Saccharomyces cerevisiae S288C: one gene and its partner. Changing the gene in region 2 together with the main gene of any one other region gives a genetic interaction. Each region holds a gene or a part of one and is shown on either strand. Other genes may lie near its edges.

Region 1 (8,844 bases), on a different chromosome or scaffold from region 2:
TATTTGTGCTGCCATGGCATTGATATTATTAACGTTTTGGCTCTTCGGCGGTAGAAAGATTGCTGATGCATCAAGTTTGTCATGGAATATGAAATAGAAAAGGAGTGATGGTTTTCTTTATTTTTAACCCTGTAAAATTTTTTTATTTTTTTATTTTTACTCTTATATATGTATATGTTTGTGTTTATTTCTGAATAAAAATTTATAAGAACCAAATTAAAACCGTTAATAGCCCACCCAAAATTGAAGTAAACGAACTCATACCTAGATGCTGGGCCTCATTATGCGAAACTGTTTTCTTTATTGCAGATTTAATAACGCCTACAGTACCGGTTAAAGTACCCATCCCAATAGACCCCACGGAGGGAGAAGCGACTGTTACGTACTGGGAGGAGAAACGCTGGACAAAAGTAGTTTGCACAGTGATAGTGTTGCCCTGTCTAACAACAGTGACCCACATGGACGTTGGCGCACGTGTGGTTGTGTAAGTGGAGGTTGTACCTTCAGTGATGGTAATGTATGAGTCAATAGATAGACTAGTGACAGCAGACACAGGAGGTTCTGTGAAGTCTGTGGAGGGGTCTGGCCTGGTGCCTGTTTCAGCTACTGCGCTCCCTGTCGATGTGGTCGTCTTTACACTGGAGGATGAACCAGACGAAGATACAGACGAGGACACAGACGAGGAGGCGGATGAAGTAGCACTGGTGCTAGAATGTGTGAACGTTTGAGTCAATGTAACTGTGGTACCCAAATCGTTTGTCGTGGTAACTGTAGATAAATACAGTCCCGAAGACAACGATGAAGTTGCGGTAGGAACAGTGGTGGTTGTCTTACCAGTAGATGAGGTAGAAGTCGTCGTGGTTGGTAGCATAGTGGCTCTGTTGACTGTCTGAGTAAGAGTGACGGTGGTTCCGACATCGTTAGTGGTAGTGAATACCGTAGTGAAGAAACCTGTTTGAGCGGTAGTTGTAGCAGCAGCAGCAGCGGTGGCAGGGTCCCATATTGTGGTCTCCGTAACCAGGGCCCCTGCGACATTTGTTACCACTGTAACCTGAGTTGTCACAGCTGCCATGACCGCAGCTGACCACAACGACAAAGAAAGTAGCAGCGTAGCGAATGAATGTAATAGCGTGCGACGCATCATTTTTTTTTTGATTGTCTTGCAGAAGTTGAAGAGGTCTTTACTGTAGCATATACAAGTGCTTAATTCTTGATTTTTATTTTCTTTTTTTCATAATACACGTTATAGAAAAAGCCCCATTCTCAGTTTATGAAAAAACGCGATATCACCATACACGCTGAGGTAGGGGGATACAAGGTGAAGAATGTACGCAATAAGGCGAAGTATATGGCACAATTGAGCAGTAAAAGTGTTAAAATATAGTGATATATATATATAAAATACGAGAGTACCAACTATTATGATCTTTTAATGCCCTCTTTCCGTTGAGATATTCATAATAGTAACCGTCACGGAACTGTCGCTTTATACGGTGAGGGGATTATTTAGTTCCTAATTTATATTAGATAAAGAAGATAATAAACATGAGGGATGCTGTAAATGAAAGTGAAATAACTGCTAGCTAGAAGAGCGGTAAGCAGCAATGGCCAAAAATAACCACATTTCTGCCAGTGGTAACAGTACCTCTGGAGACCATCGTCTTAAAGAGGAGGTTCTGACCCCAACTACATCTGCCTCGACTCCTCATAGAATATTTAGCGTGGACGATGATCCAAAGGAGATCCAAAACGATATCAGGTATCTTGAGGGTCTGCATGAAGGGTTGAAGTTCGCCCTGCATGCCAATAAATCCAAGCGATCTGTAAGCTCGCAATCACCAATCGTACATAGCAGCAACAACACGCTGCACCACCACGAGCACCAACAACACTTGCCGCCCACACTAGAGTCGCTATCCTCCAAGTCGCACTCTGTGCCAGACTTAAATACAGCTACTCCCAGCTCTCCGAAACGAATGCATTCATCTATCCGGGAATTACCTCATGATGACAATGATGACGAGGACGCCAATGATGACAGTCGGTTCATTATACACGACTCGCACGGCCATGATTTACTTATAGACGAGATCAATTGCCAGTCGCCTTCACACTTGGAAAACAATGACCAGGCGTCTAATGCTTCGTCCACAGAGTCATTCACTTTACGAGAAAGACAGGACGCCATCAACGAGACCCACCCCTTCGGTATCAGGATATGGAAGCCTGCTTTATATAAGAAACACCGTTCAGTTCAAAGAACCGCGGCGCAAGACATTCACGAGACTCAGTTGAAGACTATTACCTGGGAGGTGACTTGTTCCAATGTGCTATGGTTTATTTTGTTCGGTTTCCCCATTGCGATACTCTTCTACTCGGCGGCTATTGTGGTATTTTTACTAGGCGGCGGAGGACTGGTAACGAACTCTGCGAAGGAGTACTCCAAGTGTCTGTATAAACTCGCCAATTATTTCCTTTGGCCTTTTGGCAAAATGGTATACTTGTTGCAGGACGAGCAATATTTACAAGAAGATAAGGATGAAGGTATTAGTATGCAGCAATTCTACAATTGGGTGACTTCATACTCCAACAGGCTGGTCTTCCACCAGTCTCAGGCCAAGTTTCAGCAAAGAGAGGACCATCCGGCCCCTGCAACGGAATCTTCGTCTTTGATGCCGCCCGCTAACACAACAGCAACACCGCTTAACTCGAACCATCCATCATATAATTCTATTAGACACGAAATTCCGCACGCAGCGGCTCAAAGACGGTACTTTGGGAGAGGAAAATGGAGCTGGGGTCGTGTTCTTTTCTATACAATCTTCCATCTCGTCTTGCAACCCATCCTTGCCGTCTTATCTCTTTGCCTCTGGCTCCTGGTGTTTACCATTCCCATGAGTAATGTTCTTTGGCAAATTATGTATCATTGCAGAAGACATCCGCTTGCATTAGGCTTCAAATATGTCGAGAACTCCTCCCAATCGCACGAAAATGAAATAACCCAGCAGCAATTGAACAAAAATATCCTCTTATGTACGTTCCGTGCCGCTGGCTGGCATTACTACAAGTACACAGTTGATGGTACAAATGTTATTGTTGTGAATTTAATATCCATCGTTTTCTTTACAATTTTTGACTTTTATGTTTTGAAAAATTTCCTGCATTGGAAAACGTGGTTCACATACGAATCCTCAATATTCATTCTTTGTTTGACATCCACCATCCCACTAGCATTTTACATTGGACAAGCAGTCGCATCGATCTCTGCTCAAACTTCCATGGGTGTCGGTGCTGTCATTAATGCATTTTTCTCGACCATTGTGGAAATTTTCTTGTACTGCGTTGCATTGCAACAAAAAAAGGGTCTTCTAGTGGAAGGATCCATGATTGGTTCCATTCTAGGTGCCGTTCTATTATTACCAGGTCTGTCCATGTGCGGTGGTGCTCTAAATAGGAAAACACAAAGATACAACCCTGCTAGCGCTGGTGTCTCTTCCGCATTGTTAATATTTTCCATGATTGTAATGTTTGTCCCCACCGTTTTATACGAGATATATGGCGGCTACTCGGTAAACTGTGCAGACGGTGCTAACGACCGTGACTGTACTTTCTCGCATCCTCCCCTGAAGTTCAACCGTTTATTCACTCATGTTATTCAACCTATGTCCATATCTTGTGCCATTGTTCTCTTCTGTGCTTATATCATTGGCTTGTGGTTCACCCTTAGAACACATGCAAAGATGATTTGGCAATTGCCTATTGCGGACCCAACCTCGACCGCACCAGAACAACAGGAACAAAATTCTCACGATGCACCCAATTGGTCAAGAAGCAAGTCTACTTGTATTTTACTTATGTCTACGCTCCTGTACGCAATAATTGCAGAAATCCTTGTTTCCTGTGTTGATGCTGTCCTAGAAGATATTCCCTCCTTGAATCCAAAGTTTCTAGGTCTCACCATTTTTGCTCTGATCCCCAATACGACAGAGTTTTTGAATGCCATTTCATTTGCCATCCATGGTAATGTAGCGTTATCAATGGAAATCGGTAGTGCTTATGCTTTACAGGTTTGTCTTTTACAAATCCCATCCTTAGTCATTTATTCCATTTTCTATACGTGGAATGTTAAAAAGTCGATGATTAATATCAGAACACAGATGTTCCCATTAGTCTTTCCCCGTTGGGACATATTTGGTGCTATGACGAGTGTTTTCATGTTCACCTATTTGTATGCTGAGGGTAAAAGTAACTATTTCAAGGGTTCCATGTTGATATTACTATATATCATTATTGTTGTAGGATTCTACTTCCAGGGAGCTCTTTCGGAGTAGAAAGCAACTGTCCCCGCTTTTCACCTGGATACCTACCAATTTTTCTTTTTCTTATATCTTTGTATTGTTTGTCTTTCTTATTACTTTTTATTCTATATAGTCTTTAGTTAATTAATTACCCGCAACGATCATTAACACCTCTTAAATTGATCTACTCACAATTGGGTTGTTCTTATACTTAGAGAGGTGCGTTCCTCGAAATAACTCGAATCAAGCCCACACCTGCTCCCTTTTTTATTTCTCCGTCAATTGCACTGTAGAATCCTTTTCTGGTCTCATGTTGTGGAAAGTTTCTAAGATGTTCTTGGGTGGCTTGGTAGCGCTAACAACAATATCGGTTGCGACCCTTTATCACTACCAAAATCGCCTAGTCTACCCATCATGGGCTCAAGGCGCCAGGAATCATGTTGACACTCCTGATTCCCGTGGAATCCCTTATGAAAAGCTAACCCTAATTACACAAGACCACATTAAACTCGAGGCATGGGATATCAAGAATGAAAACTCAACAAGTACTGTGTTGATCTTATGTCCCAATGCCGGTAATATTGGATACTTTATACTAATAATTGACATTTTCTATCGTCAGTTTGGAATGAGTGTATTTATTTATTCGTATCGTGGTTATGGTAACTCAGAAGGTTCACCCAGCGAAAAGGGTTTGAAATTGGACGCTGATTGTGTCATATCGCATTTGTCAACGGATTCTTTCCATTCAAAGAGAAAACTAGTATTGTATGGTAGATCTCTAGGTGGTGCTAATGCTCTTTACATTGCTTCAAAATTTCGGGATCTATGCGATGGCGTTATACTGGAGAATACATTTTTGAGTATTCGAAAAGTTATCCCATATATTTTCCCCCTTTTGAAACGCTTTACGCTTTTATGTCACGAAATCTGGAATTCAGAAGGCCTTATGGGAAGCTGTAGTTCAGAGACGCCATTCTTGTTTTTAAGTGGATTAAAAGATGAAATCGTTCCACCCTTCCACATGAGGAAACTGTACGAAACATGTCCTAGTTCGAACAAAAAGATTTTCGAATTTCCACTTGGTTCACACAATGATACTATTATTCAAGATGGGTACTGGGATATAATAAGAGATTTTCTAATAGAGAAGGGTTTTATCTAAAAGTAATAATCAAAATATTTGATAGATTTATTTACTTTACTGTATGTAAAGAAAATGTGGTCAGTCCTCACGGCCACTTAGTTACTGATGGTTATTTATTATGGAAAAAAAAACTGCACTTTGCTACTTCTTCTATTTATATTATGTAATATCTACTCCGGTTCAAATATTTTATTGATCTCTTGCTCATTCTTTTTCCTCGTTTCAGGAACTAGTATCCAACTGAATATTATCAACGCTAATAGGCAAGCAGCAAATATGTATCCTAGTTTGAAATCAATTTTGGATACAATCATTGGTGTTAAAAGTGATATTAAGAAATTGAACATCCAATTGATAAATGTGCAAATAGCCATTGATATGGCCCTCGTTCTTAGAGGGAACAATTCGGACACTAGTACAAATGTAACTGGGCCCAATGTTATTGCAAACCAAAAAATAAAACAACAAGTCACGATAATTAAAACAATATTTGAGAAGTCCGTTTCTCTTCCAAATGTCCCCACAGTAGCATATGTCATCATATAAAATAATAAATTTGTTGAACCATATAATAAACATGTCTTGTGGCCCCATTTCTCCACGTAATATATGCCTAATATCGTAGAAAGGAAGTTAACACTTGACAGTATGATTGAAGTAATATAAGGATCCTTAATCCCGACACCTTTGAAAACAGACGTTCCGTAATAAAAGAAATAATTTATTCCGGACAGCTGTTGAAATGCCATTATCATCATACCAATAATCAGTCTCAACCATAACTTTGGCTTTCCCATAATAAATTCAAATGTGTTTCTTTTAACTAAGCTTTGCTTTTTTGATTCGTTGTTAGTTTCCTCATTATTATAGTTATTTTCCAGCAAATCATCGATGAATTCAATTACCATGCTATCCGTCGCAGGGATGCCATTCATCCTCGCAAAAGAGTATTTAGCAGAGGGCACATCATTTTTGATTTTTGCCAAGTACTGTGGAGATTCAGGAACGTAAACAAGTGACATTCCAATTATAATTGCCCAAATGTATCCCAAGAACAATGGCAATTGCCAGGCTATATTTTGTGTAGGATCTTTATAACATCTTTCGCATATGAAATTTAAAATGTTTCCCATTAGTATGCCAAATGTTACAATCAATTGATACGTAGATACCATGGAGCCTCTGATTTTTAGTGGAGAATTCTCGGAGAGAAACATTGGCACCAAGACAGTGGTTACTCCCACACCGATTCCCGTTACGGCTCTTCCCAATGTCAAAAAATACCACCTTCCATAGGAGAGAATTTGAATGGTTATACCGATGCAGTACACTACTAAGGCAAACCATATACCACCTTTCCTACCAATCCAATCACCGATTTTTGACAGAGTTAAAGCCCCTACGCCACAACTGATGTTAAAAATACTGATAATTAGGCCTATTTGCAGATCAGTAAGTTTCTTAGTAGATACAAAAATTGTTTCATCGTCATGGATAATATTAGTTGTGCCAAATTTTTCTTGAAAGCTAACCATATTTGTCATTCCACCGATGGTTCCAATGTCCCATCCAAAAATAAAGCCACCAAGCGAGATTACCAAGCACAATAAAACGGGAATATGCAGACTCGCATTGTGACTAATCTTTGCTGCTTGGCCTTCTATATTTTCTTCTTTATCATCTAGATACTTAATGGTTACATTATAATCCCTTCCCCTGCCTGCATCAAGCTCATTATTGTGAAAATGAGAGATGTATCCCGAGCTATGTTGATACGGAATCTGAGCAGTCATTTCTAGCAATAATTGAAGTACTTTACTTCCTAAGAATACGTTAACAAATTCTTTGTTAGTATTTCTAATTAAAAGTGGTTAATTGTTCTGTTAAACAGTATTCAATGTTGCTATTTGAATTTGTGTCATCATTAGAATTACTGACATTTTTATTTTCTATTTTTTTTTCTATTTTTTTTCCTCTTCTTTTGAGGGCCGACGTATCGATTTGTCAAGGGAAGTATAATTAAAGAAAGCACTGATATACAGGTTGCTGGGTAGATATTAAGAAGCTCAACATAGACACGTTATGGACGGGCATAATCAGAACCAGTACCAGAATCAGAATCAAATTCAGCAGTCACAACAACCACCTCTGAAGAAATATGTGACACAGAGACGATCGGTAGACGTGAGTTCTCCGTATATTAACCTATATTACAACAGACGACATGGATTACCGAACCTAGTGGTAGAGCCAGAAACTTCATACACAATAGATATAATGCCGCCTAATGCCTACAGAGGTCGAGATCGAGTCATAAATTTGCCCAGCAAATTTACGCATTTAAGCTCGAATAAAGTGAAACATGTGATACCCGCCATCCAATGGACCCCAGAAGGCAGAAGACTTGTAGTAGCAACTTATAGCGGAGAATTTTCTCTATGGAACGCATCTTCGTTTACGTTTGAAACCCTCATGCAAGCACATGATTCGGCTGTGACTACAATGAAATATTCTCACGACAGTGATTGGATGATTAGTGGGGACGCAGATGGAATGATTAAGATATGGCAACCAAACTTTAGTATGGTTAAAGAAATTGATGCTGCACACACGGAAAGTATTAGGGATATGGCATTCAGTAGTAACGACTCGAAATTTGTTACCTGTTCAGATGATAATATCTTGAAGATTTGGAACTTCAGCAATGGCAAACAAGAAAGAGTATTATCGGGGCACCACTGGGACGTGAAAAGTTGTGATTGGCATCCCGAGATGGGGTTAATTGCCTCCGCATCTAAGGACAATTTAGTAAAACTGTGGGATCCGCGTTCCGGAAACTGCATATCATCAATTCTGAAGTTCAAACATACTGTCTTGAAGACGCGATTTCAACCCACCAAGGGAAATCTATTAATGGCGATTTCAAAAGATAAATCGTGTCGTGTGTTCGACATTAGATACAGTATGAAGGAACTAATGTGTGTAAGAGATGAAACGGATTATATGACACTAGAATGGCACCCAATAAATGAATCTATGTTCACTCTGGCGTGCTATGACGGCTCGCTAAAGCATTTTGATCTTTTACAAAATCTAAACGAACCTATTTTGACTATTCCATACGCCCATGATAAGTGTATCACCTCGTTATCATATAATCCAGTAGGACATATATTTGCCACAGCAGCTAAGGATAGAACCATAAGATTTTGGACTAGAGCGAGGCCAATTGATCCTAATGCATATGATGATCCAACTTATAACAATAAGAAGATAAATGGATGGTTTTTTGGCATCAATAACGACATCAATGCTGTGAGAGAGAAGAGTGAATTCGGTGCGGCCCCGCCACCACCAGCTACACTTGAACCACATGCGTTACCAAACATGAATGGATTC
Region 2 (4,736 bases):
ATAAAGGATATTGAAGAAGGCACTAACGAGGCTTCCTCTCAATCCTCTTCCAATAACAAAAACAGATTGGAGCTAATACCAGAAAATTTTATTGGCGAAGGGTCTAGACGGTGTAAGAGACAGAAGGAGTTGAAGCTTGCGGTCTCCTCTGCGCCATTCAATCAGTGGTTATCCAGGGATAAGATTACGTCTGATAATCAGTTAGATGATATGATATTGCAGGCAACGGAAAAAACATTGGGCAAAGTAGACCAGGACGTCCAATTCTCTGATTTGGTAGCTAAATTTCAGTTCACCAAATTTTTGCAATCTAAATCTGGCTATCTAATTCCTGATTATGAACTGACCACTTTAAGCACACCCTTGCAGTTTAAAAGGTATATTAAGGAAAAAATTTTGCCATCTGCCAACGATCCTAAACTCGCTTATAAAGAAGCTGAGCCAAATGCTATCCACCCATTTTCTGATAATTACGCGTCACCAAACATATATGTTGTTAACGATGTTACTTCTAAAGAGCAAAAAAGTAAATATGATACTATTATGAAAGAAATTCAAAAGTTAGAGGATGATGCAACAAGAAAAGCTTTGGAAACAGCAAGATCCGCTTAGCTTATGTTAATACTATTATTACTACTATCATTACATTTTAATATCCTGTACATATATATACTCTTTGAAGAAGTTTGGATTTTTCTTTCCCATTATAGATCACTTTTTTTTTTTACCTTATCTTTTCTGTAAGTTCTTTTTGTGGCTATATTTCCTCTTTGGCGGCTAACTCAAGAAGCAGTAAGGGAATAATTCGTTACACATTACAGCTAGCTAAAATCATCAAGAGGCAGGAACACACGAGATATACTGATAATGTTGGAATGTCTAAGCGCTCTGCTGGTTCTCTTTGCCGGTGGTGGTGGGAGCGTTCTCGCAGCGGTTCAAAGCAAAACTGTGGCAGATCCTAACTTATGTCCAGGTTACAATTCACAACTGATTTCCCCCTTCCTCTCCAGTTGCGTATGTACAACAAATTTACCGAGGTACTAATATTCTCTAGATTTTATTACTGACAAGATCCATGTGAAGAAACGAAATTTAAGTGAATGCGTGTCCCGTTATTTTGATGAACAATATGCATTTTGTCGGTCATGCGTTACTGTGAATAATGAAACAATGGAGGACTTGGATAACTGCAAATGTTTACAGTGTGCCTTGAGTTCCCTTAATAATAGCTGCTTTCACGATTACTGTACCTCCAAAGATGAGTATGACAAGTTGCAGATCGTTGTTGAACAATTTCAATTGACAAATGGAGTTTTAGATGACGGAGAGATTTTGAAACCTAGAGGCAACAAATTTTCTAGTAGAAAATTGTCTTATTTCGTTGGTCAAAACAATACTCTTTTTAGGAACCCTTTGCAGTTCGAAAAAAACCAATTAATTTCTGCACTATTAACCTCTTTAACCAATAATCAAAAGACTATATCATCAGTTGACATGTTCGAAGTGGTTGACGCTAATAATGAAGTTCAATATTTGCGCGAAAGAACGATAAGTGGTAAAACTCTGTCTCCAGCTACTGGTTATGAAGAAGAAAACGACGGTGACTGTAGTGTGAAAGATAAGAAGTGGGAAGGTAAAATCGAATACCATGAGAACAAGAAAGTTAGTTCTGAAAACTGTAGTAAGGATACCGATGATAAAAGTGGCAGTAAAAAAGAACGAAATACGAAGGCCCCATTATTTCACACTGCCACCGAAATTCATATGACAAGGTGGAGTTCTTGGAGGCCAAAGAAAATTTTTACTCGTTACTTAGTGAATGAATACCAAAGTCCTAAAATAATAACCACAGTGAACAGGTTTTACAGGACCAAGACTGATACTGAAACAGGGACGACTTTAATCACGTCGACAAAAGCCAAAAGAAGATGGTTTCCAAGAACTAAAATCGTAACAAGTACCGCAACTTCGACGTTTTTGAGTATCACGACTACTACGACAACAAATGCTATCGCAACGAAGTCGTTAGTAGCAGTACTTAATCCGGATGGATTGAATAAAAAAGCGGGAATAAATTTTGGTCTCTTTAGCGCTAATGGTGAGCTCGCTTCACCAGATGAAGGAGGTACACCAACAGTAGTAAGAAGAGATAAGATTTCTGATCCAGGCGCTGCTAATGAGCAGGCCACACTGTTCTCTACAACCTTTTCGCAAGTGCCGCACTTACCAGAACTAGATTCTGGTGAATTCATATCGGCGGCATCTCAATTAGACAAAAGGATTTTCATATTCACTGCCATCACAGTATCAATTACTACATTGATGATGTTGGGGTTTTCTTACCGGTCGCGGGTATCTTTTAGAGATCATAGTATCGATGACTCAGATGATGATAACGATTGGTCAGATGACGAAGTTGAATTTGACGAAGAGTATTTCTATTCTCTTCCTGTAAGCATACCAGAAAAGGGGATCAGCTTAGATAAAATGGCGCAACAACTTGGTGTAGAATAGTCATGAAACCATTGCGCTCTTTTTTCTTTACCGATATTATTTATGCACGTTGCTCATTTAATTCCTTTCAATCACTGATTCGTTTCACGATGTTAGATGATGCTATTGACTGTCCTCCAATTATTTGTTTCACAAGGATAATAGTACAAACTTACATAGCGTTGATAGTAAATAGGCTTCGTCTTTATAAGATATATACAGCTATTAATACACATTCGTTCTCCTGATCACGGTCTCAGTAAAGAAAATATTTTTTATAGGCTTCCGGCAGTTTTATAACTTCACATTATTTGACTAAGCAATTGTTCCATTTTCTCCTTTCCTTTTTATGTTTTGTTCTTGATTTTAATACTACATTTAGTTCAGCTCTTTTTCACTTATTTTTGCACATGGAAGATCAAATACATGAAAAGTACACAAAAGAACAAACAAAAGCCAAACAAAAAAATGCTAAAAGGAAACGCTCAAAACAATTGTTGAAGTTATGCAATCTTCTCTTCCCCTTTGCAGAGAATTTTTTGAAAAAATAACTGCATATTTAGATTATCATGATTTCAGGTTAACCATTACTGCCAATCAGCCTTCAATTACTCTCCCTTACTACGTAGACGAAAAAGCCCATTCCATAGAACTAATTATCTTCAAAACAACATTTTTATCTCTTTTCCAAGAAGCACATACATATTTTAACAAAACTTTCTCTGATCAAAGTATGTCTCAACGGTAAAATACAAAAAACTATTGCTATTTTACAATACGCATTTTGGATTCATTGTTACGGCTACTAACAATTCTACATATTGATGTAAATTAGGCGGCATTTCTAATGAGAATATTTATTACATGACTGTTGGATTTCTACTTACAACACCTGAAAACAAAACGGTATATAATGTACACGAAGATTTACTCAAGAGATACTTCCAGGACAACAGTGTTTTAGTAATACCGGATTTATTGGTCAAAGAAGTAAGACTGATTCAACGGCTTCTTTGTTCATCAAACAATCGTATCAACAAGTCGTCATCTCTTTGGATATTATACCGAAAACTATTCGTTTTATCTCTTGATGCTAATACACTGGTTCTTCCAGATATTTTATTTGTATTTCATTCTTCTGGATCCCAACATTTCTCTAATTACTACTGTTGGAATACTGCTAGGTGGTTCTACGATAATTTACCTTACAATAAAAGAATTGAGCTCTTCAATTTGACTAAGAGATTTTGCTTTCAAAATGTTAAGGATTGTTCCTCATGGAGCGCATTAGCATATATGGTATGCCAGCAGGAGGAAAAAAAAACCGATAATATACGTGATTTTCAAAGACTAACAAGCTCTTTTAATGTTCCGTTCAAGATAAATAAAGTGGATTTGAATTTTCAAGTACAGCCTGCGGATGCATTTACTCAGGAATTAGTAAAATGGATTGATCGAACGTATGCTGCAGATTGGCCTCCATATCTGTGTCTTCTGCAAATTACGAAATTTAATATCACCCTTAGAATTGAAATGGACTCTGTCTTATTGACTTGGAGAAATGAAATTCTGAATTTTGAAGAGAACAGTGGTCATATCAAAATGATAAATAATACTCCAATAGTACCTGAGAAATTTTCAAACGATCTTCTAACTTCTGTGAATTTTGCACATTTTGGCTATAAAAAGCTTTTCTTAAATAAGTTTTTGGATAAAAATAAGAAAGAACAATCAGATAGTTAGAACAAAAAAAAGAAAAACATATAAAAAAACTAATCTATAATTTACAACAAATATCATATCCAACATATACACTATTGTTTTGCTGGGTTCTGCTTTTCGTTTTCAATCATCTTCTTTTGTGATTTTATTTTCTCAAATGCGGGGATGAAAAATTTGTCGGTAAATTGTTGACCAGGTAAAATAGGTGCTATTTGCAATATGCTTCGTATTTGCTTCTCAGGGTCCTCGTCGACAGGGATATTTTTATAAATACAATAGTCAAGATCTTCGCCAGGCTTTGATCTTCTAAACAACTTTGGATGAAATTCTACGCCATCTTCAATGCGTTTTTTGGCTAACTGTCTTTGGTGATCTTCAATCTGAAATTTTTCTTCTGTCGCAACAGGATGATTGCGAACGGCCAACGCATCTGTAACCTTTTTCCACAGTTTTCTGGATTCATATTCACCTTGCTCGCTCAATGGCCGAACTTTTGGTCTCAATGGTGACTCTTTATGAGT

Evidence for each region. A genetic interaction does not mean that the proteins touch.
Region 1: of ECM9 (region 2) and YNL320W, a mutation in one rescues a mutant of the other (synthetic rescue), as found in Saccharomyces cerevisiae (one study listed by BioGRID).

What each region holds. Positions count from the first base shown.
Region 1 is NC_001146.8:33,092-41,935, forward strand, and holds YNL320W (uncharacterized protein), read left to right. Parts: upstream 1-4,608; coding exon 4,609-5,463; downstream 5,464-8,844. Other genes in the region: LEM3 (Lem3p), read left to right, coding at 1-97; KRE1 (Kre1p), read right to left, coding at 203-1,144; VNX1 (calcium/hydrogen antiporter), read left to right, coding at 1,605-4,331; HXT14 (Hxt14p), read right to left, coding at 5,616-7,238; cleavage polyadenylation factor subunit PFS2, read left to right, coding at 7,528-8,844.
Region 2 is NC_001143.9:446,299-451,034, reverse strand, and holds ECM9 (Ecm9p), read left to right. Parts: upstream 1-2,998; coding exon 2,999-3,224; intron 3,225-3,328; coding exon 3,329-4,236; downstream 4,237-4,736. Other genes in the region: mitochondrial 54S ribosomal protein mL50 MRPL13, read left to right, coding at 1-612; YKR005C (uncharacterized protein), read left to right, coding at 868-1,014, 1,084-2,514; oxysterol-binding protein OSH6, read right to left, coding at 4,308-4,736. UniProt on the Saccharomyces cerevisiae protein: May be involved in cell wall organization and biogenesis.